Linked DNA regions of Drosophila melanogaster. The gene in region 1 interacts genetically with each later gene. Each region holds a gene or a part of one and is shown on either strand. Other genes may lie near its edges.

The links.
Region 2: of InR (region 1) and Pten, changing one suppresses a phenotype caused by changing the other (phenotypic suppression), as found in Drosophila melanogaster (3 studies listed by BioGRID).
Region 3: of InR (region 1) and sl, changing one enhances a phenotype caused by changing the other (phenotypic enhancement), as found in Drosophila melanogaster (one study listed by BioGRID).
Region 4: of InR (region 1) and SH3PX1, changing one suppresses a phenotype caused by changing the other (phenotypic suppression), as found in Drosophila melanogaster (one study listed by BioGRID).

What each region holds. Positions count from the first base shown.
Region 1 is NT_033777.3:21,615,563-21,622,068, forward strand, and holds the start of InR (Insulin-like receptor), read right to left. Parts: upstream 3,760-6,506; 5' UTR 3,460-3,759; exon of another isoform or gene 3,165-3,459; intron 179-3,164; exon of another isoform or gene 1-178. Other genes in the region: E2f1 (E2F transcription factor 1), read right to left, coding at 6,007-6,134. UniProt on the Drosophila melanogaster protein: Has a ligand-stimulated tyrosine-protein kinase activity. Binds 3 insulin-like peptide ligands.
Region 2 is NT_033779.5:10,254,958-10,263,881, reverse strand, and holds Pten (phosphatase and tensin homolog), read left to right. Parts: upstream 1-2,832; 5' UTR 2,833-3,028; exon of another isoform or gene 3,029-3,297; 5' UTR 3,298-3,628; intron 3,629-3,894; exon of another isoform or gene 3,895-4,191; 5' UTR 4,192-4,306; coding exon 4,307-4,406; intron 4,407-4,468; coding exon 4,469-4,641; intron 4,642-4,708; coding exon 4,709-4,853; intron 4,854-4,966; coding exon 4,967-5,154; intron 5,155-5,225; coding exon 5,226-5,333; intron 5,334-5,484; coding exon 5,485-5,647; intron 5,648-5,708; coding exon 5,709-5,818; intron 5,819-5,888; coding exon 5,889-6,104; intron 6,105-6,165; coding exon 6,166-6,487; intron 6,488-6,759; coding exon of another isoform or gene 6,760-6,764; exon of another isoform or gene 6,765-6,972; intron 6,973-7,375; coding exon 7,376-7,395; coding exon of another isoform or gene 7,396-7,429; 3' UTR 7,430-7,563; downstream 7,564-8,924. Other genes in the region: Rsf1 (repressor splicing factor 1), read left to right, coding at 464-1,066; CG5676 (uncharacterized protein), read left to right, coding at 8,067-8,161, 8,612-8,804, 8,868-8,924.
Region 3 is NC_004354.4:16,347,391-16,356,867, forward strand, and holds sl (small wing), read left to right. Parts: upstream 1-2,924; 5' UTR 2,925-3,195; coding exon 3,196-4,500; intron 4,501-4,858; coding exon 4,859-5,339; intron 5,340-5,404; coding exon 5,405-6,258; intron 6,259-6,325; coding exon 6,326-7,396; 3' UTR 7,397-9,092; downstream 9,093-9,477. Other genes in the region: U2af50 (U2 small nuclear riboprotein auxiliary factor 50), read right to left, coding at 9,366-9,477.
Region 4 is NT_037436.4:9,709,198-9,716,952, reverse strand, and holds SH3PX1 (SH3 and PX domain containing 1), read left to right. Parts: upstream 1-3,125; 5' UTR 3,126-3,267; coding exon 3,268-4,020; intron 4,021-4,800; coding exon 4,801-5,453; intron 5,454-5,933; coding exon 5,934-6,225; 3' UTR 6,226-6,531; downstream 6,532-7,755. Other genes in the region: vsg (visgun), read right to left, coding at 731-1,209, 2,330-2,402.

The DNA.
Region 1 (6,506 bases):
GCTTCTTGGAACAATCAATTCCGATTCATTCGATTTTCCGCGAGTTGAATGCAAATAAAAACACAATTAAGTGCGGCTGGTACAGCGAAAACAAGTTGACTCACTGCAAATACGTTGCATTTCGCAATGGCAAAACAAATGGCAGCTACACGGCTTGCGTAATTAATACCAATTTGGGCATGATCCAAAACGCACAGCTTGTTCAGTGCAATAATAACAATAAAGAAGGAGAGATCCCAATCACCTTGGTGATCGGTCATGTACATGCATACATATTTGTAACTTGTATTTGAGAACTAGTCGCTTAAATAAATTAGTAGAAAAATTTAATACTATTGCACCAGAAAACTATAATTTTGTTTTAAAACCAATTGAAAATTAATTCTATGGAAGGTATAAAACGAATGAATTGAAACACATATTTCGTTCAATTATCATACTAATTATGTCGAATCGTCTCCATTCCTGGTCCCATTAATAAATACAAAAACAACAACATCGCAGTGCGTGCATGCATGTGTGGGCGTGGCAGCGGAGGGAGTGTGGAGCGATTAGAAGACGCGCGTCTAAGTTCAAGGCCAAGCAGTTCACAGCATAAGCAGTGAAGGCAGCAGCAACAACAAAGGAGAAAAAGCAGCAGCGGCAGCAGGGCAAGAGTGCGAAAGGGGCAGAGGGTGGAGAGGGAAAAGAAGCAAACGCAGCTGAAAAAAGTGCACACAAAATTGTTTGGCTGTGTGAATGTGTGTGTGTGTGTGCTGTTTCGCAGCGAAAAAGGTCAATGACACCTGTCTGTTTGTCTCGCTCGGCTCACACACACACACATACAGGCTTATCACCGGCCACTCTCTTTCGGCAATCGTGCCCTCTCTTTCTGGCCTGCGCGCAGCTACGTTTAGACATGTGGTCAGAGCATTTTTTTTGTTTTTTCTCGCTTTAAAAGGCATTCGTGTTGGTGGCGGCATGTGTGTTTTTGTTGTTCGTTTCGGCACTGTTAATTAGTGTGGCCAAATTATGCGCCAAAGCCGCCAACAACTCGATGGTCATACGTCATCAACAATAGCCGGACAAACAATTTCCGGTTTTTAGCCACACCATTAAAAAGCCAATATCAGAAATAACATGCACAAAAATAAAATAATAAAAATACAGAGAAACAAAAGCAGGCGCAACAACAACAAACTTGGCCCGGGTTCCGTCATTGCCTCATCCTCTATAGATCTCTTCTGTTCTTCTGCTTTATTTTGGTTCTATTTCAGCAATTTGTTATTGCGGCGACTTATTTTTGTCGCAGCACGCACACACACTCGCACTTATGCTCGCACACACACACACACACACACAAATGCACAGAGAGCAGGCAGGCAAACTCGATTTAAAAATAAATAAATTACGCACAAATACAAATACATTGGCCAACATTCTTCGGGCCTCGTCAAAAATATAGCATGATTAATACAAAAATGCGCAATTCTCTGGTGTTTTTTTTTTCTACTTCGGTTTTGCCTGTTGTTTTAACCCAACCTCCCAATTTTTTATGGCATTTCTCTCTTATTATACAATAATAACGCGAATATAATAAGAGCACAGCAAGTGGGCAGTTCAACGGCAACGCAAATAGCAACAACAAGCGCAGCGGCACGCCAATTAGTGCTTATGCTTTTTAATTAGCAAGCGGACCCATCCCCACATTTCCCCATTTTCCACCTTCCCGCCCACAAAACCACTTACCCGTAATATCTCCACGCCAGTTATTTGGGAAATATCTTCCCATTTATCACTATTTCAGTACACCCACAGACCCCCGATCTATTGATCTGCTTCCGTTGCGGATACAACACAAAATCAAAAGCCCGTAAATCGTGGGTGTATCTTTATCTCGTTCTTTTAAAGGGATATCCCACTTTTAATGTCAACTTAAGTCATTAAAGTCTCAACCTGCTTAAGTTGGCATTAAATAATTAATGTTTATAAAATGAAAACATTGTAGAAGCTCCAAACGTTTTTACAAAGTCTCCATTAAACTAAATTTAATGGATATCTTATACATATACCTTAAAGATAAAAAGAAACCCGATTTATAAGGTCACAGTTTGAGCAAATAGTTTGATCAACTTTTTGGGATTTGTTTTAGCAAGTGAGAGCTTTAAAATTGTACTGGATATATTTGGCTGGTTTACTCAGCATTTTGGTCACTCTAATTACGAGCTCCAAAATAAAATAAAAAACAGCACTGTCATGACTTTTTGACAACCGCTGAAAGTGTGGTGTCCACCATACATTAAAAAACAACACATTTTCCAAAGTATAACTTTAGAATTATAAAGGTTTGAAAATCATGACAAGTCAACAGGTGAGTTCAATTTTATTTTTGAAATATTAAATAAAAAATTGAGTTTTGCAGGTGGTCCTGAAGAGGGGGTGAGAGCAACATACATATTAAAGCGCCTTTTAAGGAAAAATGTATGGGTGTTTAATGGAAGTCGACTAAGACACTTCTTTGAAGTTTATTGTTTTGTTTTTTTTAATAATTTATACTAATTCTATAAATATTTAATAAAATTCTATTGAATAGCTCTTATTGACGCTTGTATGATTAATTTTAAAACTTACCAAGGACAATAAGGAGACAGTCTTTAGCAATAGTACTAAGTAATTTCATGAAATACTATTTTTAATAATAATGTTAGTTACTCTTTTAGTGCTGGCTTAATTTAATGCAATGGAAAACTTATCTGTACCACTTTTCAAAATGCGTGCAACAATAAAAAATAAACCAGCACAACAACAACAACAATAATAAAACAAAAACCGGCAGCAATCGAAATTCTTTCATTTCTTTTCCGCCTCTCTTCGCGCAGCCGCTCTCCGCACGACAGAGAGACAGAGAGAGAGAGAAAAAGAGAACAATGTTGGCTGCGCCGCTCATTCACAAAACGGAGACGTAAAGCGGTGTGCGAAGAAGAAGAACAACAACAGCCCAAGATATGATAGATATGGAACAACAACAAAAGGAACAAGAGGAACCGGGCGGAGAGAGGAGGAGGAGGAGAGCAAAAACAACTTGGCATAAATTGCTGCTGCGTAGTAATTTCACGAGTATTTTCCTAGTTACGTTCTCACTACTATTATTCATTTTATTATTATTTGTTGTTTTTGTTACATACCCCTTTGCAACGGTTTTGTTGTCGTGCATTGTTGATCTAGTTGTTGTTGTGTCACCTAATTTTTGATTTTTATTTCTATTTGTATTTTATTTTGGTATCGATTTCAAAATAGAACGACGCACTTTCCCAGACGCAGGCGTAATTAAATTTTCTTATGTTTTATTCGCGTGCTTTCTTTTTGCGCCGCAACTTCACAACATGCTGTGTATATATAAATAATAGGAGAGCGCGCGTGTGTGTGTGTATGTGTGTGTACACAAATTTTATTTATTTATTTACCGTGAATTTTACTCACACACCCGGACAAGCCGCACTCTCGCCAGCACACGAGAATCGCCCGCACTTGTATTTCGTGGAATTTCTTTAATTCGAACTCCACCGACCTCGCACTATTGCTCTGTATTTTGTATTTTCGCACTTTTCATTCACGAAATGCTGGGGCACATAATTTCGCCTTGCACAGTATTAGGTATCGGCAATTCACTGTGGCCTCTATTTGACAGCGATGATTTTCCGCACGACGAACACACTCACAATTCCAATTCACGGCGACCGCGGCAACGATCTCAACGTTTCGAAATCGCGTGAAACACTGCCAGCCGTTACCCTTGTTGTATACGCGATTTTCGGTTTAGCGCGTTTTCCAACTCTGTTCGGTCGTTTTCGAACTCTGTCTTTTGACCGCTTACAGAACTCTGTTAGTGCCGGCTGTTACACTAGCGCGCCACCTATAGCAGAGCTCTTCGTTTACCAACACGCCATGAAGCCCAATACTGAATCCTCGCGCACTAAAAACGGATATTCCATTTGTAAAAACTTTTATATGAGCATAATGTCATTAGCAAATATTACATTCTGGATCACTTTTTTTTCGAAAAATTTAGAAAATATAATAAAATAATGGCGCTATTATTGTGTCGATTTCTTAATGACATAGGAAATATTTTTATGTAATCATTGTCCAAGAGCATCTACTTTCCATGCAATCAAGCATAATCATTTCCTTGAACTCCCCGCCTAGGTGATAAATACTAACTAACTACAAATACTAGGAGCTGCTGTAAAACCAATTTAAACCAATTTTAAATATTTCGCTAGGATCTGCTTTTTGGGGTTTGGCTTTTAGAAACGCAAGTTTCAAGTTTAAAGATAGTGCGCCATACTTGAATATCGTAAATTGCAAGCAGTGCTACGTTTTACTGCTTTCCGAGTTGGCGGGCGCATTAAAATGCACTGCTTTCCCAGTTGGCGGGCGTTTTAAAACATGCAGACAAGTCTGCTAACTACTCATGGGTAAAATGATCAAAATCCAAGGAATGGATCACATATTTAAAATTCAACTTGGTGTTTAAAAAAATCTTTGAAAAGATGCATAAAACAGTACAGTCTTTATACTTTATTAAAAATAATTAATATAAAAAATAATATTTACCAAAAACATTCAAATGATGATTCAAAATTGCTTAGTTAAAAAAGAAGTTAGCAAAAAACACTTCTTGTGACCATGGCAAACTTCACCTTATTTAAATTCGGCTTGAAAAACTTAAATATTCAGTTTAATTGAAACAGTAGACATTCGGTTTTAAAAATTTATTTTGTTTATTTTAAAGTTTCCTTCGTTTTTGTAATATTTATTTTCTCTTTTTTTCATGTGTTTGTTTTTGGAAAGAAAGAAAAGTACCTAACAAGTGTGTTTTCTCTTATAAAAATTAAACGTACAATTATACAGTGGTTTCGGCTTGTTGCGGTTCTCCTTCGTTTATTTATTGATTTTTTTTTACAATTGTATGATTTGCATTTGTTTGTTGCTTTTATCTATCGTTTAGTTAAATATATAACTACTAGGAGAGAGTTTAAATAATTATTTATGTACTTGTAGTTGACTCTGTTAAGTGGTTGGTTGTTTGTTTTGTGGGATGATTTGGCTTCTATGAATAAACTGCTATTGGGCCCATGTGTGTGTTTACAGTTTAAATTTTATAACAATAACAAATTATGATACATAGTTATAGCTTTAATAATATTATAATTAAAAATCAATCGATAAATCCAAGCAAATGAAGAGAAGAGGATTCTGTTGCATGCGTCACTAAAACAGGAACCAAAGCCATCTTGTTGGGGGCCCAGGAGTGTTCTCTTCCTCTTCTACTACTGCTCCATATTAATTTGAAATGTCTTCGATATATTTTACAATTTGAAATTGATTTTCTTTTTATTGTTTAATGTTGATTGGCTTTACAACTATTTTGTTTTATAATTTAAAATTATATAAGTGTGTGTGTGTGTGTGTGTGTTGGTATTATTTTTACTAATTTACAGACAGTTCTAGCCCAAAAAGTTGTTTGATAAGAGGGAAGTATTCGCATTTTTTGTGTGTTATCCAATCGTTTAAATAGTATTCCTGATTCTTTTTGCTTTCTTTTAAAGGCTAAAATTAAAATTTGCTTATAAAATGTGGCTCTTCTTGCTACGACTTCTCCCTATTTCTCTCGTGAGGCTGAGTTTTTGTAAAGTAGATTTTGTGTTTTCGTTTTGTTTCGCTTAAATTAGTTTGGGTTATAAATTTAAATGTATATATTTTTACGCTTAAAATTGTACACACAACTTAGTTTCATTAAGTTTTGCTGATTCGCTTTTTTTTGTGTTTTGTTTTTGGATTTTTTGTGGCTTCTAGTATTTGCAATCAAATAATTTAATAATTTGCTGGCTGGCTTTGTATCTTTTTTTTTCTTTTGCCATTTGTATATAATTTAAAATTATAAACACCCCCAGAATCCCAATTTTGTAGACATGTGTGTGTGTGTGTGTGTGTGGTTGTGATTGTGTTCGTGGACGTCTCCTCTTAGGGTCCATAGGCATCCGAACCGAAGTCAAACAGCCGATCGATGCCCTCGTTCGCGTTCAGCGCATACGGATAGTCATTGTCGTCCGGCGGATTGATGGACACAAAGGCGATATCGTTGCTGAAGTCTGTAAATAAGAATGCAACACATTACTGAATATTCCGGCATTACTAAATGTTCTGCAGTTCGGGGCTGGGCTGGCTGCATATGATTTTACATTGGGTTATTTGACGATTTCATCTGGACAACCATAAAATAGGAGAGAGAGAGAGAGAGAGCTGAGAGCTGATAGAGCGAGAGATGTTGTGGATGCATGTTTGAAATTCACGCCAGAGCTGAATCTCATGGTGCTACAGAATTTCAATTTCAAAATGAACAATTTGCCCTGGAGCGGTCAGTGTTGTCAGTGCAGACCCACGAGAATTCAGTTCCAAAATGAATTTGACACGAGGACGATTGCTGACGAGGCGGCGGGTTTTATGTCGATATATATACATAT
Region 2 (8,924 bases), on another chromosome or scaffold:
TCATTATTTGGGGTTTGAAGAAAATATAAAAGTACACGGCTATATATTAACAAACATTTTATATATTGTTTTACTTTATTTACTTTACTAAAGATCATACAAATATTTATAAAATTATATAAATTAAATTGACGTATTATTCAGATTACCATGATACATTTCCCAGCACAAAGTATAAAAATAATTAAAAATACAAGTCACTAGAGCAGCGGGAAGTCCCTTTTTACGGGGCCGTTAAACTATAAATACATCCCAACACACGTCCATTCTCAGTGTTCCAAATGCGAGGATATTTTTGAAAATTAGCATTTTTGCAACGAGTTTAACCACCCTGGTCGAAAAGTTGATATAGATACAAACGCTAAATTGTCCGGTGGTGATAACTTATTGATTATTTATTTTTCAAGGCAGCTATCCGATTTGCAGGATAACTCCGAAAACGAATCAGAAACAGTGAATCCAGATGTCCAGCATGGGTGATCAGCGCGGGACACGGGTGTATGTCGGCAATCTGACCGACAAAGTGAAAAAGGATGATCTGGAGGGGGAGTTCACAAAGTATGGCAAGCTGAATTCGGTGTGGATAGCCTTCAATCCGCCGGGATTTGCGTTCGTCGAGTTCGAGCACCGCGACGACGCCGAAAAGGCGTGCGACATACTGAACGGATCCGAGCTGCTCGGCTCCCAGCTGCGCGTGGAGATCTCAAAAGGGCGGCCACGCCAGGGTAGGCGTGGCGGACCCATGGACAGGGGCGGACGACGCGGCGACTTTGGCCGGCACAGCATCACAAGCGGTGGTAGCGGCGGAGGCGGTTTCCGGCAGCGCGGATCCAGCGGATCCTCAAGCCGGCACACGGAGCGGGGCTATAGCTCCGGCCGATCAGGTGCAAGCAGCTATAATGGCAGAGAGGGCGGCGGCAGCGGCTTCAATCGCCGCGAGGTTTACGGCGGTGGACGCGACAGCAGCCGCTACAGCAGCGGAAGTAGCGCCAGCTACGGACGCACTGGTGGTCAGTCGGCCGGACGCTTCAGGTCCCGCTCGCCGGTGGGAAACCATCGATTCTAATGACAACACCACTCATAGTTGCTTAAGGATTGCCTATGAGTAAAGATTAATAAATAATAACTTAAGCGCGACCGTAAAACGCAGACTCAAACATTTAAAATCGTAGCATTCGATCGTTTTCGATCGTCCAACAGATTCCCTCATTCCCCCACATCAACAACAACAACAGAATGATAAAAAAAAAAGAAAAAACAAAAAACTGATAGTCGTCGTCTCTTCATTATTTATTTAACGAATACCCATTAACATGACAATTGCAAGCACGTAAAATTTAAGTTATAACGTAGAAAACTAGTAAGAAAAATACGCTAAGACTCGAACAACGTCAAACCAAAATCTAGAAGTACGCAATTTTAATAAAGGAAATGCGGAACAGTTTCTCGTATACATAAAAGCTTTCGCAAAATAATTGGTCTAAAACATTAAAGAATTTTGAGAACTCGGAATTGTGTAGGTGTTCATTTTTACAGAACCTCTTATAACCATCGTAATAAACCCTACGAAATGAAGCAGTCAGCAGTCCGAAACTGGTAAGAAAGCGTTTTCGAAAATCTGCTTTGTTTTCTGAATCTCGAAAACCTAAAAAGCAATAACCGCCAAGTGTTTACAAACAAATCATTGACTTTACGTTTTGGTAAGAAATATTGCATGTGTACTATCCATCGATCTAACTTTTTACCTATTAAGACAAATACTATACAAATCTATAACTTATTGTAGTTGGGTCGAAACGGCAAAAATCTAGCCAATGCTGCAAGCAACTATATTAAGCGCATCGGTTTTAATGTTTATGTTTTATTTCATTTAACTAAATTAACAGGTCATTTGTTGGAGTATCTCTTAACGTCACTTTCAGATTTATTAGATTGCTTAAAGTTCAAAACATAGCTAAGCAATACTTATGATAACGACGATTAGTTAGTTAGCCCAAGGGGCTATTAAATATTTAAACGATGGACTGCAGAAACTTTTTAAACAAATAAAAAGCGAGACAAATAAATGAGAAATTGGTTAACACGGCAAAACACTTGTTTTTATTTCTTCGTCTTCGAGTCCTTTTTGCTTCAATAACATTTACTGATGATTGGCCTATTTTGATTTATTCAAGTTACGAATTAAAGTCAACAGTTGAGAATTAAGTGGTACCAAGAATTCATTTTGCGGAAACCAACTAGCCTTAAGATACGAGTGTAATTTTTAAAGTTTTGAAAATTTTTTAAAATTTTAAATTATTCAGATAGCAGGTTTTGCTTTTGAATAAAGGAACTTTAAATTCCAATCATATTTATGTCAAAATAATCGAATACCCATAAAAAACCTGTTGCACTTTTATCGATTGTAAATAAAAAAAGAGAGGATTACATTAATGGTATTACCCAAACTGATAGTTTTCAATAGCATTTCAATGGCTGGAAAAAAAAATAAATAAAAGGTATTCGTAAATCTTAAAAATGTTTGCGTTTTAAAAAATTGCATACCAAAAATAATATTGGTTTTGCAAGAAATGGAATTTTTAATAGCTGTAGCAATATTAGTTTCGTGGGTAGAACTCGAGTAAAAGATGTGTTGGTAGTCATGTTTTTGGTAGCATGAAGTTATATGTGTGTTGTTTAATAAGATTAAAATAAATGCATAGATAATTACATATTGTTTAAAACCGCAGTGCTAAAAAATAAATGGTTGTATCGATGACCCATCGATAGTTTTTGCATACACAATTTAATCGAGAGGGCACCACGCACGTCGATAGCACTGGATGTACATTTTCTCAAATCTTGTGGTGGTATCGCTCGCCGTAAACACCCTGTGGATCTCACGCTTGATAAATTAATAATACATTTAATAGAGCATGAGCGCTACTGTTTAACTTTTACACATAATTGAAAAGTTTTATTTGAAATTTCGTGGCTTAGAGCAAAACATGTGATAGCTTTTTGAAATGCAGTAGCCAGAACCTGCTCGGTTGGAACATTTAGCTTATTGACTTAAACATACCCATATGCACATACATACATATGTATTAAACAGTGGGCACATATATTCGTGTGGTGCTGATAGTGTAAATGTGTAAAATGTCTGTGGAATTGTAAATATGTTTTTGTTTAAACAAATATGTACATAAATGCACAAAAATCGGTGCATATATGTGCACATGCCCATCATCCATATCTGCATATTTCTGTACATGCATATGTGCTCTAACTACAATACATACCACCATTCGCAAACAGTTTGTCAAAAAAGTGTGTCTACTCGGCGAGATAAAACAAAAAACAGTTGCCAAATCAGTCGCTATGTTAAGTAATTCGAAATTACTGCTCGGTGTTTCTAAAACGGATTTTGATTTTGATTTTCACCCCTCGAAAATCGCCCCCTCAGCCAACGAACCCATTTAATTGCTCGAATTCGTATCGAAATCGCCGTGCGTTGGGCTTCAATAAAAGAACTCTGTTCTGTTAGCCAGTTACAATTAAAACCAGGACCATTTGACAACCAATCTGAATGTATTATGCCAAGCGGAAGATTGTTATATTGTTTATCTTTGATAATATGCCGATACATGTAAGTATGTTTCACGTGTGTGCCGCAAATGCCTGCCTGTGTGTGTGTGTGTGTGTATGTACATATGTGCGTGTGCATGTGCGAGTGTGTGTGAGTGTGTGCATGTTTGTGCTAAGGATATTTGTGGATATATAAACCGAACTGAAGTTAACTCTTTACCTGTTCCTGGGAAAACAAGTAGGGAACTATTCCTATAGAGAGTGCACCTCTGTCTGTATGTGTATGTACGTGCTTAAATATGTATCCAAGCAAGAACTGCAAACAGGAATATATCTTAGCCGAGTAAGAAGTATTAGTTTATATAGAACAACCTAAGTGGATCGGGAGAAAACAAGCCCATTATATTAGTTCCATATATCCCTTTAGAATGCCTTGGCACAGTATAATTAAGCAGTTTCTATTGACCATATTAGAAACTTGTCTGCTGTTAAAGGATTTAGGTTTGAATTCGCAGTAGAAAACTAAGCTGAATTGAGTCAATACTTTTCTAACTTGCTGTGGAAAATAAACAGATTAGTTAGAATCATATGCATATTAATTAATATGCTTTACATTCCTTTCAGAACGTACACTTTGCAATGGAGTAAATAGAAGACAAGCACTGGTTCCCAAATACATTTGAATGGATGCAGCTAATCTAATTTAAATAAAAAAGACAAGTCTTTAAACCTTAAAAATATGGCCAACACTATTTCGTTAATGTCCAACGTGATACGCAATGTAGTGAGTAAAAAACGTATACGATACAAAGAAAAAGGATACGATTTGGATTTAACATGTAAGTTATTGAATCAACCGCAATCATTGGAATATTAAATTAAATTATCTATTTACCCACAGACATTAATGATAACATAATTGCCATGGGCTATCCAGCACCGGATAAACTAGAGGGCCTATTCAGAAACCGTCTGGAAGATGTCTTTAAGCTATTGGAAGAGAATCATGCCCAGCATTACAAAATCTATAACCTATGCTCGGAGCGTAGTTACGACGTTGCTAAATTTCGCGGGGTAATTTTGTTGAACTTTTTCTATTTGTCGGCGTAAAATATGTAAAATATACTATTTCGCATTACAGAGAGTAGCTGTTTATCCGTTCGATGATCATAACCCTCCAACGATTGAGTTAATACAACGATTTTGCAGTGATGTTGATATGTGGCTCAAGGAAGATTCGTCCAATGTTGTAGCCGTGCACTGTAAAGCTGGAAAGGGCAGAACCGGTAGGAAATGTGTTCAACATTTTGTGCGAAAGTTCATAAATATCATGGCACACTATGATCTTGTTTCGATATTTGTAGGGCTAAAAAACTAACCCAGTTTTTTTTCATTTCAGGTACCATGATCTGCGCATATTTAGTGTTCAGTGGAATTAAAAAATCCGCCGACGAGGCATTAGCGTGGTATGATGAGAAGCGTACAAAGGACCGAAAAGGTGTGACAATCCCATCTCAGCGTCGATATGTTCAGTATTTTTCCAAACTAGTTTGTTCAAGTGTTCCATATTCGAAAGTAAGCCTTAACGTGAGTATTTCCAGCAGCAGCGCCACATTCAGCGCCGTACAAAATCTAAATATGCATTTTTTGTATCTCAGGTATGTGAAATACGCTTCTCGGAGTCCAGTTGTGTGCAAAACTTAGGCATGGTAGAATGTTCAATATCTGTATTACACGACTCAGCCACAGAAAATGCAAAGCCAGATGTAAGTATATAAAGTATATAGATACATCATTGATAGACTATAGACAGCATTTTAAAAATGTATATTTCACACGATTTCAGTGCAGTAAAGTGTTCCTTTTCGAATACCTTTCTAACCAGCAGTAACATTCTTCTTTTTTTTATAATTGCAGAGACTGAAAACCTTGCCGATTGATTTTCAAAAATCATTTGTTTTGACCATTAAACCATCAATACCAGTTTCCGGCGATGTAAAATTTGAACTCACAAAAAAATCCCCAGATAAAATCATTTGTCACTTTTGGCTAAATACGTTTTTTGTACGAAACTATTCACGTAAGTATACTTAATATCGCACATGCATTAAATAAACGATTTAATTAAACATTCTCTTTAGCTTGCGAGTCCGATGGAACAGTTAACAAATATATACACACTTTAAGCAAATCAGAAATCGATGATGTACATAAAGACAGTGAACATAAAAGATTTTCAGAAGAATTCAAGGTAGGATATTTCGAAGCATTTTAATAGATGCTGCGAAATTACCAAATAAATGTGCTTGCTCTCTTTTCAGATTTCAATCGTTTTTGAGGCAGAGAATTTTAGCAATGATGTTCAAGCTGAAGCGTCCGAAAAAGAGAGAAACGAAAATGTTTTAAATTTCGAAAGATCAGACTATGACAGTTTGTCTCCAAACTGCTATGCCGAAAAAAAAGTCTTAACTGCGATCGTCAATGATAATACAACGAAAAGTCAAACAATAGAAACGTTGGATCATAAGGATATAGTTGTAAGTGAAAACACGTTTTGCGCCGATCAATATGCTTAATCTATAAATCTAATATTCGTAGACTAAAATTCAATACGACACATCAACCAATTCAAAAAATACTTCGACTGCGTGCAAACGCAAACAGCCTAATAGCAAAACTCTTTTACCAAGCTTGAATGATTCCACAAAAGAGGAAATAAAACGAAATCATATATTTAATCAACCGTCCATTAAGAAAACTGATTTAATCAAATGGCAGAATAGTGAAGTTCATATCACCTCTGACACTCGAAGTATAAACGAAAATAAGAACATCAATTACAATTCATACATCACATGTAAACAATCCTCTCCAAAATTCAACTGTGGTACCGAAGATGGCGAGGAAGATTGGGAATCCGGTGAGTTTGCTGCACACTATACTCTCAATGACCAGATCTCACTAAAAATCTATCCGTTTTAATCGAGTAATACCGAACAATTGTTCTAATTTCACATTTATTTAATACTAAGAGTTTCGATTCAATTGATTTCTGGACCATTATCGGTTTGATTTTGTAATTAATTGTATTGTATGAGTATTCAAATTAAGATTTGTTAAAAGAGATAGCCTTTATCGACATATGCTATCGTCCACACATTTATATTCTTATTGACTTATTGAATTCGCCAGAATAATCACCCGAGACGATTTAAAAGACTTCTGGCTGAACGATCTCTTAATTTTGATGTATAAAACGAAGCCACCAGAACTGGATTTATATGTCCCCAAGACTTTTACGAGTATACTAGCAGAGACAGGCTTACACAGATCCACTTCCTTTCACGGGGAAACGATCGATTACAGCTGCGCTCTGCACATCTGTTTAGAATTTAATGTACATAGGTGAGTGAGTGGGAGCCCATGCCTGCGGCTCGAATGGTCAACTAACCGGCAATCCTTAATCAGTATCCGCATCGATTTTCATCACACATCCCTCACCGCTTCATAAGTATGTGACTCTGGGCACTGCCATTGTCCTTCTACTCAATTCATTTAACAAAACTAGCACCGAACTGTCGAACTTCGACTAATTCGACTATTTCACTGTTGCTGTTGAAAACTAAATATCCTGAAGCAGAATGTGTCTTTTGTGTGTTTCATCATCATCAAAAGTCTTCTGCTTTTAATTCATTCATGCTATTTTGATTTTTATCGTATTCTCGTTGAGTTTTAGTTAATAAATTCATTAAGCTTGTTTGAGCAAAAAAATCTAAACTAATAAATGAATATTTTTCTTTATTTCCAGGTGAATCAACATACCTGTAATCAATGCTTATTACGGACTTATAATTCTTGGTGATTTAGCAAAGTAATTAAAATTGCTAAGTAATTGGCTAATCTATTCGAATTTGTAAATATACTGTATGATATTTATTTAAGTAGTTTTAACAATTATTTTAAATAAACTCATGTACATTTTGTATTGTAGATTTCATTCGAACTTTGGGTTTTTGTCTAAAGTAAGGGGGGAGAAATAATTGACGTTTAGAAAAAAATACTTAAATTTATAGTTTTGATCTCGAAACTAGTTTTCGACACGAAAAGTGCAGCGATTAAATGGATATCTCATATTTTATTGGAATTTAACTAATAGTTTCAAATGAGGCAATAGCTAAGATAAATAAATAATAAGAGGTTCTTGAAATTTGCCAATTGTTGTGCAAAGCATACAGGATTCACAAAGGTAATTATCAGATTAATAATAAATATTCAAAGTATGATTATTCCAGTTTCTACGTTAAGTGCTACCAGTTATTTTTCTTACTCTTTTTCCCATAATTCCCCTAACATATGTTCCACTTCCGAGTTCCAATAAACCCAACACAAAAATGTTGTCCAAATTGACGCTATCTTGACGGGCATATATTATTGTGTTAAATTGACGTAAACTGGGCGGTCAGAATTTCGCATCTTAACGTCGACATCTAATTTTAAAAATGACTAATTATTCGGAAATTTTTAAGAAAGTTTTTAACGATATTGGCCAACGTTCAGCATATTCGCAGATGCTTATTGGCGTTTCATCAGGATGGTATGTGGTTATATCATTGCGGCGCATCACTTAAATTTTTAGCAATGCCGATTGTCTTTGGAATTTGAAGTAAATTGATTTTTTGCATACTTTCGGTAATAGCTGGTAGATAACTGCAGAATACGTTTTTAATTAAAATATACAACTGAATGCTTAGCCGCTCCATCTATTGCAAATATGTACTTCTAAATACGTGTATAAATGAATGTTGTTTGTTTGCGGGATACAGAAATATAGGACCTCCCTAAAAAGGAAAAGAACTAAATAGTGTAATAAAATGAGTTATTAATCAGATAAAACTGATATAATTTGCACAAGATAAGCTAGATAACTCGGCAATTTACTATACATGTATATGCGCCAAATGATGAGTTGCAAATTTAAGGAAATCCATAGAATTTGCTGGAATTTGTGTATCTTATCTTACTAAAAATATAACAATTTTTTCAGGGTCACAGGATATACGACAATGAAAATAGGCAAATTTGCTGCCTTTGCAGTTGGCGGCAGCATAATCTTGCTCGAAATCGCCCACCAAGAAGGACTTATAAAAATAAATTGGTCTAAGTTGGATAAGAGCGTGGATAAGCTCGCCGATAAAGTGGAAGCCTCGCTGGGTCGTGAGAAGAACTGGAAGGATAAGGTATAATTCATTTAAACCGTTTATCTATATGCTTACTATATTTATGCTGAACTCAATTTGCAGACCGAAAGATATGTCGACAATCAATTAGACAGAGCTGAAAGCCTCCTAACCCGAAAC
Region 3 (9,477 bases), on another chromosome or scaffold:
TTCTTTTGTCTTTTTAACATGGCTTTCATATAAATTGAGTGATTCTTTATTGAATTTCCGAAGAATTATGTGAGCGAAAATTGCATCCACATCTTCTGGTAATTGTGCCTTTAATTTTATAATATAAATTGACTCGTTAATCGTGTCAATAAATGTCTTTATTTGCTTATTGGATTCTAAATTTAAATTTGGCATATCCATAAGCCTATTCATATGATCTGAGAATATGTTTCTTTTATTCTCATATCGCTTGGTCAAAAACTCCCAAGTGGCTTCATAATTTTCTCCAGAGCCGAGCAGTAAATGAGTAACCACATTTCTGGCTTCTCCTTTTAATGCTGACTTTAGATAATTAAATTTGAGAGAAGGACTGAGATCCTCTCTCACATGTATGAGCTCTGTAAAGAGTTCATTAAAAAGATCCCATTCTTTGGAATCACCAAAGAAGGTGGGAATCTGTATTTTAGGCAGGGTTGGTAACTCCTCCGCCTTAACAACCGTCGACATTTCAGCTTTATTTATTGTGCCACTGAGTCGACTATTAATGGCTGTAAGAATATTTTGTTTGTCAAATTCAAGTTCGCTAATTTCTTCTTCGAATAGCGAACTCTCAAAATGACTATTCACCTGTTCAATCAGGTTATCTATTTTATGCCATAAAAATTCAATTTTATTTTTCCTTATTTTAAGGAAATCTGGACTACTGTCTATTAGTTTAGACGTATCTTCTAGATATACTCGAAATTGGCCAACATTATTACGAAATGCCTGCTCTACTTTTAAAGCGTTGTTTTGTGCTATACCCTCTTTTTCAGGGTGACCACGTATTTCAAGGTTTAATGTAGGGGGAGGGTTTGATTTAGGGACAGTGTTTGATTTAGGGAAAGTGTTTTCTACCGACTCGCCCTTAATTTTTTCATTTTTATTTTTAATTTTTTCTAACACCATCATTATTAAATCATACTGCTTCGCGTTAAAATATTCATGATCGACAACGCCGATCTTTAACAAATTGCTATGATTAGCAATGAAACATTTTTGAAGCTCATTTAATTTTAGAATTTCTACATCTGTTAATGTTGGTTTTACTTCCAACTTTCTAATTTCCAAAATAATTTCGGACTGCTTCTTAAGGAATTGAATAGTCTTTTCTGACATCATTTTGAAAATTTTTTGTAATTTCTTAATATATATAGTACGTGTATATGTATTTTATATGTATTTATATATATATGTGTGTTTGGATAAACAGAAAATTCTTGTTTTGACTTAGCTGATGTCGTTGTTGTTGCTGCTGCTGTTGCTGCTGTTGTTGCTGCTGTTGCTACTGCTGTTGCTGCTTCTGCTGCTGCTGTTGTTGCTGCTTCTGCTGCTGGTAGAGGCTCCTTTGAATTTGACTTCCTTCTCTTCTTTAAGGCTCCGTCGATGTTTAAAGATGATTTTTTTTTTTTTTGCACGTTTTATTATTTTTGTAGTCCAGTCAGATTTTTTGTTTTTTAGCCATTTATTTCGGCATTTATGCTCTTTTGGCATATACACTGCACTCTATTTATGAGCTGATTTAATGCTATTAGAGCATTTATAAGGCACTGTTTTCAGGCACTTTTTATTTAATTTATGCTCTTATGGCATATACACTGCACTCTATTTATGAGCTGATTTAATGCTATTAGAGCATTTATAAGGCACTTTTGTTATGCACTTTTTAATTTCACAATTGCTGATGTATGGCCTCAAGCACGCCTTACCACAATTTATAATGGTACACAAAGCAACCTTTAGCTATAGACTATAAGGTGCTTGTTTTAAAACATAAAAGATTCTTTTGTATCTTTTGCTTTTTATATTTATACTCTGTTCCTTACCTTTGGTAGGGGGAAACAAGAGTCACTTATTTTTGCTACCTTTAGCTGTAAGATGCTTAAAGGAGCTGGCCTTTCTCTGAGTTCCTTACCTTTGGTAGGGGGAAACTGCAGAGTCGATTAAAGGCTCGATTGACCAAATGTAAAATCCCAAATAAGAAGACTTTACTCGTTGAGTTTTTGTAAGAAACTGATTTTATTTGGAAATATCTTCGGTTTAAATAGGTGACATGAGAATCGCATCTTAAAGTAAATGGCCTACGCAGAGGCCTAAGTAAATAGTCCCCGCCTTATCGAGGTCCCACGCTCGGGCACATCTGCCTATCTTGAGCGGCGAGGACCTTATCTGTGGTCTCCCACTAAGGGACTATTTTAGGAGGCGGGGAACGATCTCAAGTGACTGACTCATGTAGTGTGCACTTAAATTACATGTTTTTGAGCAATGCACCCATGTCGCCTTAGATAACAAAATCCTAAATATAATTTATCGCTCTCGATTCATTTACATAAGATATGAACGGAGCCCAAAATTGTAAGTCTTTAAATATATTCGTGTTCATGTGTGAACAGGTAGAAAAGCAGACAACAACAATCAGTCAATTGCCTAAGCTTATTAATTTGTAAATCTATTTTAAATACAATATCAAGAAAACTTATGTTCGTTTGGTTTCAAGTTAGTTAGTTAGGAATTCTTCAGGTCGGGATTTATTTTCCTATCTACATAAGGTGAGTTATAATAAAAGCTTTAAGCTTCTTCGATTTGGTTGGTATGCTTAGTTTTGCTTTATTCAAAACTAGGAATACTATTTACATAACGAATTTTTGAATCGCACTTCAAAACAAAAGATAAAACTGGTCACACTTTAATATTTCAGTTATTCAAGTATGTAAACAATGGAGCAATTTTTAAGCTAAACTTTTAAATAAAATAGTCAATTTATTTTTTTATTTCCTCACAATTCGAAATACACCGCAGTGTGAACGCCCCATTTGCGTGGATTTAGTATTTTCTGTACCCACATTACGGCCTGGCAACACTGGCACTTTCCTCAACAGCTGGCTTATCTTATCTGCTTCTGTGGTATTTTTTGGGTACAATTCGGATATTGCATTGTTAATCTCGGTTTATTGAGTCCCAGTGGCCGTGATTTGTGCATCGACCAGTTGGAAGAGAGGGAGCAGTTGATCTGCGAATAGTTCCACGCGCTGGCACCCATAGTTTGTATGCATTGCACTTAGTCTGGCGATCGGTTGGCGAGGCGAGAAACAACCTGTGGCAGCCAGCGGATGAGAACTGGATTCGATAGGAATCGACACGTTTGGACCGGACAGGATGAGCTGCTTTAGTGCGATGAGTGCCCCGCTGCTGGGCGAGATGGAGCAGACCATTGGTATGCTGGAGCGCGGCACCATCGTGACCAAGTTGTATGGGAAACAGCGTCGTCCGGATCGCCGCCACCTGATGCTCATACGAGAGACACGACAGCTGCTCTGGGCAACGGTGGCCACACAAACGCCACGCACCGACTACGAGGGCGCCATACAGCTGCGGGAGATTCGCGAGATACGGGTGGGCAAGCACTCGAAGGAGTTTCGCCTGTTTGCCGACGACTGTCAGCGCTTCGAGTCCAGCAAGTGCTTTGTCATACTGCACGGCAATCACTTCAAGCTGAAGAGCTTCTCGGTGGTGGCTCTGTCGGAGATCGAGGCCGACAATTGGGTGCGGGGATTGCGTTACATGGTTAAGGACACACTGGGAGCACCCTATCCCTTGCAAATTGATCGCTGGCTGCGTCGCGAGTACTATCAAATCGAGAATGTTAACACGCATTCCGCCAAGGCCACGGAACAGTCGCCAGCCCAGGTGACCATTAAGGACTTTAAGCTCTTTTTGGCCGGAGTTAGCTGTAAGATGACCACCGGCAAGTTCATGGAGCACTTTACCGAGGATGTGCGGCGCAAGCACGATCTCAAGTTTGATGATTTCTCGCGGCTATATCAGAAGTTGCTGCTGCCCAACGGATTTGCCAGCGTCTTGTCCGGATCGGGAGTGGCCAACTTTCCCTATTCGGAGGACCAACAGGTGGTGCGACCGGCGGAGCTGAAGCAGTTCCTCGAGACGGAACAGCGCGATGTGAGCGCCAGTGAGATCAGTAGCGCAGCCATTGCCTCCTTCATTCGGGACTTTGTTCAGGACGTGGAACGTGATGTTCAGGAGCCGTATCTCACCTTCCCGGAGTTCGTCGACTTTCTGTTCTCCAAGCAAAACGACCTGTGGAACAGCAAGTACGACCAAGTGTTCATGGACATGAACCTGCCGTTGTCCTCCTACTGGATCGCATCGTCGCACAATACCTACCTGACGGGCGATCAGTTCTCCAGTGAATCCTCCTGCGAGGCCTACGCCCGCGCTCTTCGCATGGGCTGCCGTTGCATCGAGTTGGATTGTTGGAACGGGCCCGACAATCTGCCCTACATATTTCACGGCCACACCATTACCTCCAAGATCAAGTTCATGGATGTCATCAAGACGATTAAGGATCATGCGTTCACCAGTTCCGAGTATCCGGTAATATTGTCCATAGAGCAGAATTGCTCCCTGGAACAGCAGCGGAATATGGCGCAGGCCTTGATCGAGGTAAGTTGACCTAATCGAATCTATTAATAACAACAATTTATATATTCCATGCAAACAGGAGATCTGCATGTTTGCTTTTTGATTCATTCGCTGTAATAATGAGTTCTTTTATGGCTTTCTGTGAGATTGCCTAACTTAATATATAATTGAAATGGATTTTGTATATTTCGATAGTTGGGAATATGTATGACAATATGAAGAATTCGCTTTTTATTCGTTTGAATCTAATTATAAATGTAACAGAGCAATATTTTTAGTTACTTAGATTTCAAGACGATGGTAATTAGATATTTCTTGATGCTTTAAGTATTAATCGCATAAAAATCCATTGACTTATACCTTTTATGACCCATTACAGGTTTTCGGGGATATGCTGCTTACGCAACCTTGTGATCGAAACGAGCAGCACTTGCCATCGCCATACCAGTTGCGTCGCAAGATAATCCTGAAGCACAAGAAGTTGCCGCAGTTTGACGACATCGCGAATGGGATTTCTAGCACGGGTTCACTGGGCCATAGATCATCGTTGGGCGGAGCGGGCGGTGGAGCGCATGGGGAGAACGATGGCGAGAATGTGCGCAAGGTGTTCAAGGAGGGACTGCTCTACTTCAAGGATCCGGTCGATAAGTCCTGGAATCTTTATCAGTTCGTTCTGACCCATCAGGAGCTAATCTACTCCTCTGAGATCAACGAGTCACGCAACGGAAACTCCGAGGATGATGACTTTGGGCTTTCTTCGTCGTGCTCCCTAAACAGCAATATGCAGCAAAAGCAAAAGGATACCTCGGCCAACGATGAGCTGCACTTCGGCGAGAATTGGTTCCATGGGAAACTTGAAGGTGCGTTTATTGGTTGACATATATGCAGTATATTCCATTTGTTTCGTTAACAATTTGCATTTTAGGTGGCAGAAAGGAGGCTGATGATCTACTAAAGAAGTACAAACACTTTGGCGATGGTACATTTTTGGTTCGGGAATCGGCCACGTTTGTGGGAGACTATAGCCTTTCGTTCTGGCGACGTAATCGCCCGAATCATTGCCGCATCAAGTTAAAGCATGAAAATGGATCGATCAAGTACTATCTAGTGGAGAATTTTGTATTCGATTCACTGTACTCACTGATCGTTTATTATCGCAAGAATATGCTGCGTAGCTCAGAGTTTTCGATTATACTGAAAGAGCCAGTTCCGCAGCCGAAAAAGCACGAGGATCAGGAGTGGTTCCATCCGAACACCACCAAGGAGCAGGCCGAACAGGGTCTATACCGGCTGGAAATTGGTTCGTTTCTAGTGCGGCCATCGGTGCAGAGCATTAACGCTTTTGTCATTTCGTTCACAATCAATCGAAAGATCAAGCACTGTCGCATTATGCAGGAGGGACGCTTGTACGGCATCGATACAATGAACTTCGAGTCTCTGGTCTCGCTGATCAACTATTATACCCGAAATCCACTCTATCGCAATGTTAAGCTCAGCCATCCGGTGTCGCAGGAGCTGCTGCGTCAGGCGCTAGCGGAGGCGGCACAGGGTGATCATAGTGGCGGTCACGATGACAACGGTGCCTCCAACTACATGGGCTCCAATCTGGAGGAGAATGTCACGTGCAAGGCGCTCTACAGCTATAAGGCGAACAAGCCAGACGAACTCTCTTTTCCCAAGCATGCCATCATAACGAATGTCCAGAGGGACAACTCGATGTGGTGGATTGGAGATTATGGTGGCATGATCAAGAAGCATCTGCCGGCAAACTACGTTAAGGTGAGATGCATATATAGATTTATTTGAAATTCAACTATATTCAACTCTTGAAAATTCCAATGTCTAGGTTATCGATTCAACTACCGAGGACTACAATTCGCTGAACGAAGAGGGCACGGATGGACGCACCGATTCCATTGAGATTTTCGGAGCTGTTGCCTCGCTCTTTGAGTCCAACGATCCGGGGATTATTTTCAAGCTGCAGATACAAACGCCAACGATGCAGAATCCGTTTGTGATTGGCTTCGACAATCAGGAGACGGCGTACGAGTGGATAAAGGCAATCCAGGAGGCAGCCCTTATCGCCAGTCAGCTGGCATCGGAGAGGCGGAAAAAGGAGCGCACTGCCCGGGTGGCCAAGGAGATGTCCGATCTGATTATCTACTTCCGCAGCGTGCCGTTCCGCGAGCACTCGTGGATATTTCAGGAAATGTCGAGTTTCCCCGAAACGAAGGCCGAAAAGCAGTTCTTCCAGCAGAACACACAACTGTTTCTCTCCTACCATCGCAATCAGATTAGCCGAGTGTATCCGAAGGGTCAGCGCCTGGACTCGTCGAATTTTAATCCCATGCCATTCTGGAATGTTGGATCCCAGATGATCGCACTGAACTATCAGACAGGCGATAAGGCCATGCAGCTGAATCAGGCCAAGTTTCGGAATAATGGACAATGTGGCTATATCTTAAAGCCATCGTTCATGAAATCTGACAGCTTCAATCCGAACAATCCGCTGTGCGATGGCCTAAGCGAAGTTAAAGTTAGCATACGTCTGATAGCCGCACGTCATCTATTCCGGGGCGGCAAATCGAACAATCCGCAGATCGTGGTCGAATTGATTGGCGCTAGCTTTGATACGGGCGTTAAGTATCGCACCAAAGTCAATGAAAATGGTTTCAATCCGGTGTGGAATGAATCGTGCGAGTTTAACGTGCGTAATCCACAGTTTGCGATCCTTCGCTTCGAAGTGCAGGACGAGGATATGTTCGCCGAGACGCACTTCATCGCCCAGGCGTGCTATCCGCTGACCTGCATTCGCCAGGGCTATCGCAGCGTCATCCTACGAAATAAGTTCAGCGAGGAGCTGGAATTATCGTCCCTGCTGATCAACATTAAGATAGCAAATGTTACCGCACCGTAAGAGGATTGCTGAGTTAGCTGGATCAATATCAATGATTCCAAATCGAGTGTTTGCGAAAACAATTGCGCTAGATCAAAAGGAAAGCGAACTTAATTCGCAAAAGCAATTTATCAACAACTTGTACATAAGAACATTTCATCGAACTATGAACCTGATTCTCTCACTTGTAATTTGTCTAAAAAGCTTAGGATCTGAAACGTATGATTTAGATTTAGATTACTTTCTATACACATCAGCAGTTATGGTTAGTTCATACTATACAATGAGTATTCAAATGGTAACAATGAATTCTGAACTCCTGGAACTGAAATCAAGTTTATGTAATCCGTATAATTTGTACACTTTTCCATAACACTAAGCATTCAAGTCTGTTGTCCTCTAAATGTTGTATTTGTGCGTGAGATTGATTCAGGAGAATAGAATGATACGAATATGTTTTAACTATTCGTCACCTCATTATAAGCATAAGCAAACCAGATTTGATTTGATTTCGATTTAGGGAACTTGAGCTATTTCCATTTTACCAGTTTTACCATCAAAAGTTAAGTACATTAAGTTGATTCCAAAATTAGAAATAGAAACAATTCATAAACAGCTCAATTGGCATCAATTTAATGGGCATTTGATATTCAGTTTCAGGATCAGCTTTTCATAAGTATTATATTACAATCTTCTTAAAGACTTTTAACTGAAGAAAATAGACCACTTTCATATGTTATCTGGAAAACTATTTTAGACCTTTCTCTTAGCACAAATACTCAAACAGCATTTCAATCATTTAGCATTTACCTTTTTTATTTTCTCTTTTAAAGCTTAAAGTAATAATACAATTTATAAAAAAAAAAGGGCAAAGGAAATTTAAACCACTTTGATTACATATGTCTTCCAGTTGTTTAACAATTACGATATACCACATAATTGTGTCTATGTTATTTAACCACGATTGTTGTAGCTAATGTTACAAAAACTAAAAGTTTGCAAACAATATTAAAATAAAATGTAATTATTCAATTACATTTAAATGAACGTGCCTTAAAATTCGAAATGATCGAAATTTTAAATGTTTGAACGTTAACTATTGAAGTACACCTGTTGCTAAAATAACAAATATTTGAAAAATAATAATATAGCTCAAAGATATCTATTTTTTATAAAATCAAAGTTCTAACTTAGCTTCTTCTCTAAACTGCGAAATCTAAATATCTAAAGCCTAAGTTCAATAGACGTATTATTACTAAATGCATTATATAATTTATATATCTAGATATTCATAAAATGCACTAGTCGATTTAAGAAGTGGAAATTGTGCTCCCTATGCGAATCATTTAGGATTTTAATCTGAAACTATTTGCATTCCATACGAATGCCCCACTGAAACGATCGATATCATTTGTCTTGCACTCGCATTTAATTATTTAACAAACATTCTGCTGTTTCCATTCGCACAATAGTTCTAATTTGGACATTTTGCGCGTTTGAGCGCATTAGCAAATCATGCTTAGTATATATGTATGTGTATATGTACCCAAAATGTATTTCATTTGTACGTTCCGTTTTTAAGTGATTTGTATCTGTACGTCTAATAGATATTTTCAACTGTTTTTGTAATTGCCTTATAATTCAGTAAACACACACCATACGTATACATTCATAATTATTTAATGCCAAATAAATGTTTATCCGGCGTTAGCTGTCTATATATATACAAAGTTGTTTCTATATGTTGGATTTCTGAGAATTGAGGAAGCCACCGAATGAAGTAGTTATGTTATATACCCTTAAACTCACGTACAGTTTCAACCCATTAGAAGCATTTGGAGTTTTCGTTTCCAACTTCCGGCTCACAATGAAATAAGCGACTATCCCTTTCTATTTCATGGTATCTTCGTATTTTCGTAGTCAAAATTTTACTTTTATTCTGATATTTATTGGACAAATGGTGAATGTGAGATATATGATTTACTTGTATCTAAAACTCGCGTCTGTGGTATTTGTCGGGATCGAAATATGATGTGACCACAACGCGGTCGCTGAATTTACGTCCAGTAAGTGCTTGCTGCGCCTTCTGACAGTCGAGAACC
Region 4 (7,755 bases), on another chromosome or scaffold:
TCGCTATCAAGCAGTCTCACATATTTGCTGTTATTTGTTCTTACTCCTCTCGTCTCGTTTCGTTTCGATCTCATAACTCATTTCTCGGTTCATGGTCGCCCTGGGAAGACCCTGTGACAGGCTCCCCGGACTCCTCTTATATAAGGCGTTGAACATCCGCTCAAGTTGCTGATAAACTGATGTTTGCAAAAAACCGTACCCTTACATATTGAATGCAATGCATTAAAGGAAAAATATTTACTTTGTTTTTACATTTTCTGTATGACTGAGATAAGGGAAGTAATTCAAGAATGTAGAGCCTGCTCCTACTATCTGGGCCCGTATTAAATCCGCTCAGGGGGTTATCGTTTCAATTTAAGAACTGACTTTACTTGACTGCCGTTTGTATCTCTGTGTGTGTGTGTGTGTTTTGTTGGGGAATCGGGGTATAGGGGCATCTCTTTGGATATTAATTATATTGGGTAATATGGTGTGGCTCCCCGCTTTTAAATTACGTGTGCAGCAACCGATCTCGGGCCGACGGCGAGCAGTTTTGTGGAGCTGCAGCCGCACCACCACCACTGCCACCCATGTGGGTGGGTGGTGGTGGTGGCGGCTGCGTTGGCGGCGACCTTAGCGGTATCGAAGGCTGGACAAACCGCACGCGCTCCGCATCCGTGGATGCGGCACTGCTGCTGGCCGCCGCAGCTCCGGCTGCCGCATTGAAGGCCGACGTAAAGGCGGTGGCGGCTCAAAGGGTGTGGTAGTTGCGCTCGTTGCGGGCCTTGTAGAACTTGTAGGCCACTAAGCCGATAGCGAGCAGGCCCAGAGTCAGCACAATGCCGCCAATGAACGAGGATCCATCGAAATGACCGCACGGCACGGGCTTCGGCGCCGGAGTGGTTGATGTGTGTGGCGGCGGCGTAGTTGTGGTCGAGTTCGGAGACGGAGTGGTCGTAGATGTAGTTCCAGGCGTGGTGGTGGTCGTTGCCGGAGTGGTGCTGCTGGTGGTGCTGGCCGGAGTGGTGCTGCTGGTGGTGCTGGCTGGAGTAGTGGAAGTTGTGGTCTTCTCAGTCGATGTGGTAATTGGTGGCGTCGTCGTGGTCTTTTCAGTTGTGGTGCTCGTGGTTGAGGTCGACGGTGGCGTCACAGTAGTGGTGGTGTCCGGCGGAGTGGTGGTGTTCTTGGATTCCTGGGTGGTGGTGTCCGCTGGAGCCGGTGTGGTCACTGCTAAGGCAAATAAAAAGAGTTTATAAATATTAGCTTATGATAAGTTCGTAAAACTATTTCACATCAGATAGACTCAAGTGTAGTAAATATTATAGTAATGAACCCAATGTGTGGTTTTTTTTAATCAACCCTTTTTGATACGTTCATATTTCTTATTTCAGAATGAATACATCGTAAAAAAATAATTTTAAGTAAGAACAGCGCCTATCATAGCTTCAAAAAAACAGGGCTTGTGTGCAGTAATCAGCAACGAATATTATAGATAAAAACTTATGCGTCACTCCAAAGTTAAAAGCAAATAAATTGGTAAGCATGATAAGTTCACAACGACTCTTATTGATCGATTTCCAATATTTCAAAAAGCACAACGAATACACATGTTTTGTAAGAATTGAAAATAAAAATAGTTCCATTGCACATGTAAATGATGTCAAAATTGTCAAACAAAATAGAAAAACGTAACAAAACAAATTGATTTGGTTCGGAAAATAAAGATTACTATATTCAAAATAGGCAGCATTTAGGTGATATTTATTTGTATGCAATAATGGAATTTAAGGAATGGAAATTTAAGAAAGCTGAAAAAGTAAACATTAAATTGTTTGTCAACAAAATATGGTCAAAATCTCTTTAAATCCTAAAATATGTACAAATATTTTCGTATGGTAATTAGGACGTGACGATTTAAATAAATGCTTGCGAACAAAATATGGTTACAGCTCGGTAAATACATATTTACCAAATGTCCACAAATATTAACGTATGGTAATGTGACAATTTACGGACTTTCGTAAATTCCAAGTTTCTTTTGGAAAGCTGTAGATTTGCAGTTCTTATGCGGAGAACATTCCCCCAAAGTCGGAGTAAGAGAAAATGGCCGGAGAATTGATATTCAATATAGGAATTGGCATTTAAAAAACCCCCACATCCACACACACGCACATTCATGCACACACACACCCACATGCCCGCACGGCGCACACACGCGAGGGGTTTGCGCACACGTACGCATGCACATGCAAGCGTGTGTGTGTGTGTGTCCGAGTGCATAATTGAGAAATGAGTGTTCGGCGTGTCTTCAATTCGATTTTAATTCGGTGTAATTTGATCAAAGACTCACCTTCTTCGCACAAATTCGCGGAGAAGAGGCCCACAAAGAGGCACAAGATTAGGAATTTCGCCTGCCGATTCATTGTGGTCGTTAAACGCTGAGTACTCGAACGACAAAGTCAGCAAATCTGCAAGGCAAAGAAAATACGTTTGCGAAGTGGTTGGGGATTAACAGATACCGCTGGAGTCAGTATTGCACAACTGGCGATGTCGCCGAGCTCCGATTTCGCTCACCCACAAATTAAAGCAAGGCGCAATTAAGGAATGAATAACACGACACGAAGACCAGATTCTTTTATGCCAACTCGATACTTCGATGCATCCCGATACATCGACAGCTGAGCCGTGCTCTGCAGCCCTGGCACTCGGCGCTTATCAGTAGGGGGAGACCGTAATGTAGTTGAAACGCCTCGCATTTGGTGCAATATAAAATTATGATCATAAATTTGTCCTTATATTTTACTTGATTTATTACTATAAAATTGTATACCCACCTAGCAATTTATTTGAAATATTTGTAGGTTAAATCTATATAAACATAAGTAATTTTTCACAGCTAAATCTTTCTTGATAACGCAATAACTCATTAATTTAATTTGATCGACTTAAATGTACCATTTATATTATTTTATTTTAGTGAGTATATAGTAGTAGTACAGTATAAATATGAAGTTTTTATAATTATTTATCAAATTAGAGAGTGCCTCTGTTCCAAGTGTAGAATTCAGGTGTGTTGGGGGAATACCCCTAATAAAATTGCTGTATCATCATTATATCTTGTTGCTGCAGAGCGAAGAAGACGTCAGTGTCAGTTTAATTCCGTAATCCAAGAAACGGTAACACTTCACACTTGGTGATTCAGAATTAGTAGATATTTCTTGTCTGTTTATGGCCCCTGTGAAGACAGGACTCGAATTAGCGTAAAGGAACGACCAGGAGAGCACCAAGATGACCTCGTACGTGCGTGCCATGTACGACTTTACCGGGGAGCCGGGCTCCTCGGAGCTCTCCATCGCGACTGGCGACGTGCTCTCGGTGACCCGGAGCGATGTGGGTGAAGGCTGGTGGGAGGGCAAGAATGCCCGTGGCCAGATTGGCCTCTTCCCGGCTGCGTACGTGGAGGTGATGTCGGCGGCCGAAGCCCAGAAGCTGAGCGCCAGTGGAGCGACGTCGGTGCCACAGGTTCCGGATCCCTTCGCCTCGCCCCCTTTGCCGCGTTACGATCAGACGGCGGATGATGATGGCAGCAACTGGGATGATGAGGACGATTGGAGCGACGACAATGACACGTACTCGGAAATTGGTCCAGGTGGCCAGAAGTCTGCGGGACAGTCGGCTCGCGCTGGCGGATTGTCGCATTCCACCAGTGACTACGATAACAAACACCTGCCCATCGCGCCCAACGATGATACCCAATCACTGGCCTCCGTGGCTGGTGGGACTGGTGCTGCTGGCACCGTCAAAAAGGGCATGTTCGCCAAAAGTTCCGATTCATATATACTCGGCTTGTCCAGCACCAAGGAGAAGATACCCGAATGCGAGATGGCCTACATTACACAGGTGGAGGACTCGATCTACCAGTGGACGCAGAACCATTCGCCCTACTCCGTTGTGGTGGCCAGTCCCAAAAAGGAGTCCAAATTCAAGGGGATGAAGACGTTCATTGCCTACCAACTGACGCCTAGCTTCAACAACATATCCGTAAGTTGGCCAACCCTGATATCGCCGTGATTAACAACACAATACGATAAAGCTCCGACCGTTGGCGCATGAGTGTGTAACTACGGGTGCAATATTTTGTTGATAATATGTGTCTGTGCTGTGTTCGCTACCCTCTGCCAAGGGTAATTTGGGCTGGTTCATGTGCTCACGAGCAGATGGAATGGAATAAAGAAAGACCAATCCTTTGTTTATCGAAACTCCGCACTAATTGCCGGCCAACATTTTCCAACTGAGTTGACCTTAAAAGTGACCCTTTTTTGCTGAGAAAATTTAAATGGAGATCATATCCATTTCTTTAATTGGTTTGTTTTATTAAGACTCTGAAAATTGGCTAAATTTATCTTTTTATTTGTTAAAGTTTTAATACTATTCAAAGCTATAGTTCATTTCTTATTAGCTACTTAAATAGTATTTTGATAATTTCGATCAACTTTATTCATTACAATAATGAGAAGCATAAATGCTCGACATTACTTTCGAACTGAAATCAAAGCTCTTTGTAAAGTTCTTTCAGTCCATTAAAATACACATACAAATAGGTAGAGCATTACAGAGTCGTAAAAGCACTTAAAATTCTTCTTTGTGGGGGCAATTCTGACCAACTGGTAGCCAGCGGCACTGCGATGATTGCTTGTGCTTGCGAACCGCCACGGGGAATGACTCAGCAACGAGCTCTGACCCCCCGAGCTCCGGGCTCCTCTTTGCGTGACCCAATCACAATTAATTGGTCATATCTAATCTGGGTTTCCCTTTCGTTAGGTGTCACGTCGCTACAAGCACTTCGACTGGCTGCACGAACGTTTGGTGGACAAGTTTTGCCTGATTCCGGTGCCACCGCTGCCGGACAAGCAGATCTCCGGCCGCTATGAGGAGCAATTCGTGGAGCATCGACGTGTGCAGCTGCAGGAGTTCGTCGACTGGGTGTGCCGCCATCCGGTGATCTCCAAATGCGAGGTCTGGTACCATTTCCTCACTTGCCGCGACGAGAAGATCTGGAAGTCGGGCAAACGCAAGGCGGAACGGGATCCCTACATGGGCGTCAACTACTGCCTGGCCATCTCGCCGCCGGACAAGAACCTGCTGCACTCTAAGGTGGACGCACAGGTGGAGCTGGGCACCCAGTTCATACACAGCATGGACGTGGCAGTACGCAACCTGAACAATATATCCAACGACATGGCCAAGCGCTCCATGTCGCAGAGTAAAAAGGAGTTCCAGCGCATTGGCGACGGACTCTCCGACCTGGCCAAGGCATTGGCCATCGATGAGCGGCGTGCGCCCACCCGAAACGCGGTTCCGCTCTCCGAGAGCGTCGGCCGCATCGGTGGCATCTTTATCGGTATTGGACAGGCCTTTGGCGACCAGCCAAAGCATGATTGGATTCCCCTCTCGGATCGACTTCACATCTACAGGTGGGTTGACGTCTCTATAAGTGATGGGAAGCATAGCACATTTCGTTTCATTCATCAGTAATTGATTAGCTGACTGAAAATGGGAATTCCACGACATGTGTCATTTCTATACTAGAAGTTACAATAGGCACATACATATATGGCTGAATTACTCACAATTAAAAATTTTCGATAGATTACTTTCTTGTAAATTGTTTTTAAGGTATCAAGTTTATTTATAAAGAACTCAAATTGTTTACTTTTAAGCAATGAATCAATGTATAGTTTCGCGAGAAAAATCGATTGTTGGCCAATAGTTTATTTTAGATTATTGTGGTTCTTACGCTGACTGACCTTTAGTTTAACAAGAAATATATACATAGATATACATATGTATAATATATATATAACTTCTAGAGAATGTGGTAACTTTCCGTCGCTATTTGTTTATAGAACGATCTAGAAGCATTATCTAATTCTTACTTTCACTTTTCCAAATAGGGGCGTTCTCAACTGCTTTCCGGACATCTTCTCCACGCACAAGGGTGCCATACAGAAGCGAAAGGACTGCGAGAAATTGGCCGGCGAGGGCAGGATGAATAATCCCCAGTTGCACGACGTTAACCGGCGCACAGATGTCGTCTCCTACACGGTGCTGGCCGAGCTGACCCACTTCAAGAGCGAGCGGGATACGCATTTGAAGCATACGCTTAAGAATTTCATTGCCGAACAGATTAAGTTTTACCAGGGCGTGGTGGCGCGCCTGCAGGAGGCCAGCCGTCAGATTGAGTAGATTGGCCCTTGGCCCATGGCGACGACGACTCATCGCTGAAGAGATCGACGGCTGGGAGCACAAAGAAACCGCACCGGGCACACACTTCCACACAGAGATACATAGCTGAAAACATTCGCACGCGCGCATTTCAAATGCCTTCGAAAGGAACTCTTACTTTAAGCGTGGTTCTAACTAAATGTTAAACAGAAAAAATATTACATAATGTTGTTTGTAAGTGAAAAGTTGCGTATTTATACAGAAATTAACTTTTATATGCCTATTATACACTGAACTTGAGATGCAAATATAACTATATTTATACAGAACCACTTGTGCAAGTGCATCATCTGCATCATAATCATCATATTTGGATGATCCAACCAAACCCGCTGAATTAAAAGTCTCGGTGGCGATTTGCTATTCTGTTGCCTTTATCAGCGAAATTCTCTAAAAGGGTTCTCTTTATTTTTCCATTTTCATGTTCATGCTTTTGCTTTGCCATTTTCGCGTTAATAAGTTTTGTGATTCTTGTGTTTGTTTGGTTTTTTTGTTTTTTTTTTTTGTATCTAGAACATAAGTGTTAGATTGCACATGTTAGGGATGATGATTTCATAAATAATCAGCGTAATAACTAGTAAAAACAAAAAGAAACACATTTCGGAATGGATACAAAATCGGTTGTTTGCCTTTTAGCGCTGCGCTTTGTTTTCGTTTGATTTTTGGCGAGGTCATAGGTGAAGGTGAAGGGTCCAAGGATTGTCCTGGCATTTTTGGAGGATAGTCGGATGTGGGTTTCCAGGGATGGGAATCGGGTTGTGGGGGGATCACTAAGTGTAATACATCTAGATAAAAACGCTATATACAGACACACGAGTTAATAATAATAATAATAATATAACGCAGCTTGAGATAATAATAATAATAATAGATTTTGGTTAACAATAATACAATAATTAGGTTTTTTTTTGCTTTTGCCTTCCGCTTTCGCGCTCTACATTATTTTTTGTTTACTTGTCGTGTTTTTTTTTTGTTTTTTCCTCTTTGTTTTCTTTTCATATTTTTTGTGTTTTTCTTTTTTGTTAACAAACTACCAATAACAAATTTTTACTAATTCAATTTAAGTTTTTTTTTATGTTTACTGCTCTCTGCTTGTGTTTACCACCTTGTTTGTTGTTTATAAATTATTGTTGTTTGCGTTCCGGTTACCTTGTTGTTGCTGTTCCTGTGTATTAAACTAAAGGAAAATCATGGTTTATCCTTTACCAATTCCTGGCGGTAAAACGGCCTATACGATGCCTCTAAATATATAGTTATTATTACACGCAAGTGTTACATATGCCTATATGTTTATGTTTATGCGCTAAAGTGTCTTGCGCTTCGGTTAGCTGAACCGTGAACCCACCGGACGACTCCTAGCCGTAGTCACCGCCGAAGCGTCCGTGCTTATTGCTACCGTTACTGCTCTGGACCGCTGCAGCCGCCGCCGCCGCTTGGGCAGCCTTCTCCGCCAGCAGCGCCGCCTTCTGTTGCATGTAGGGATTGAAGTGT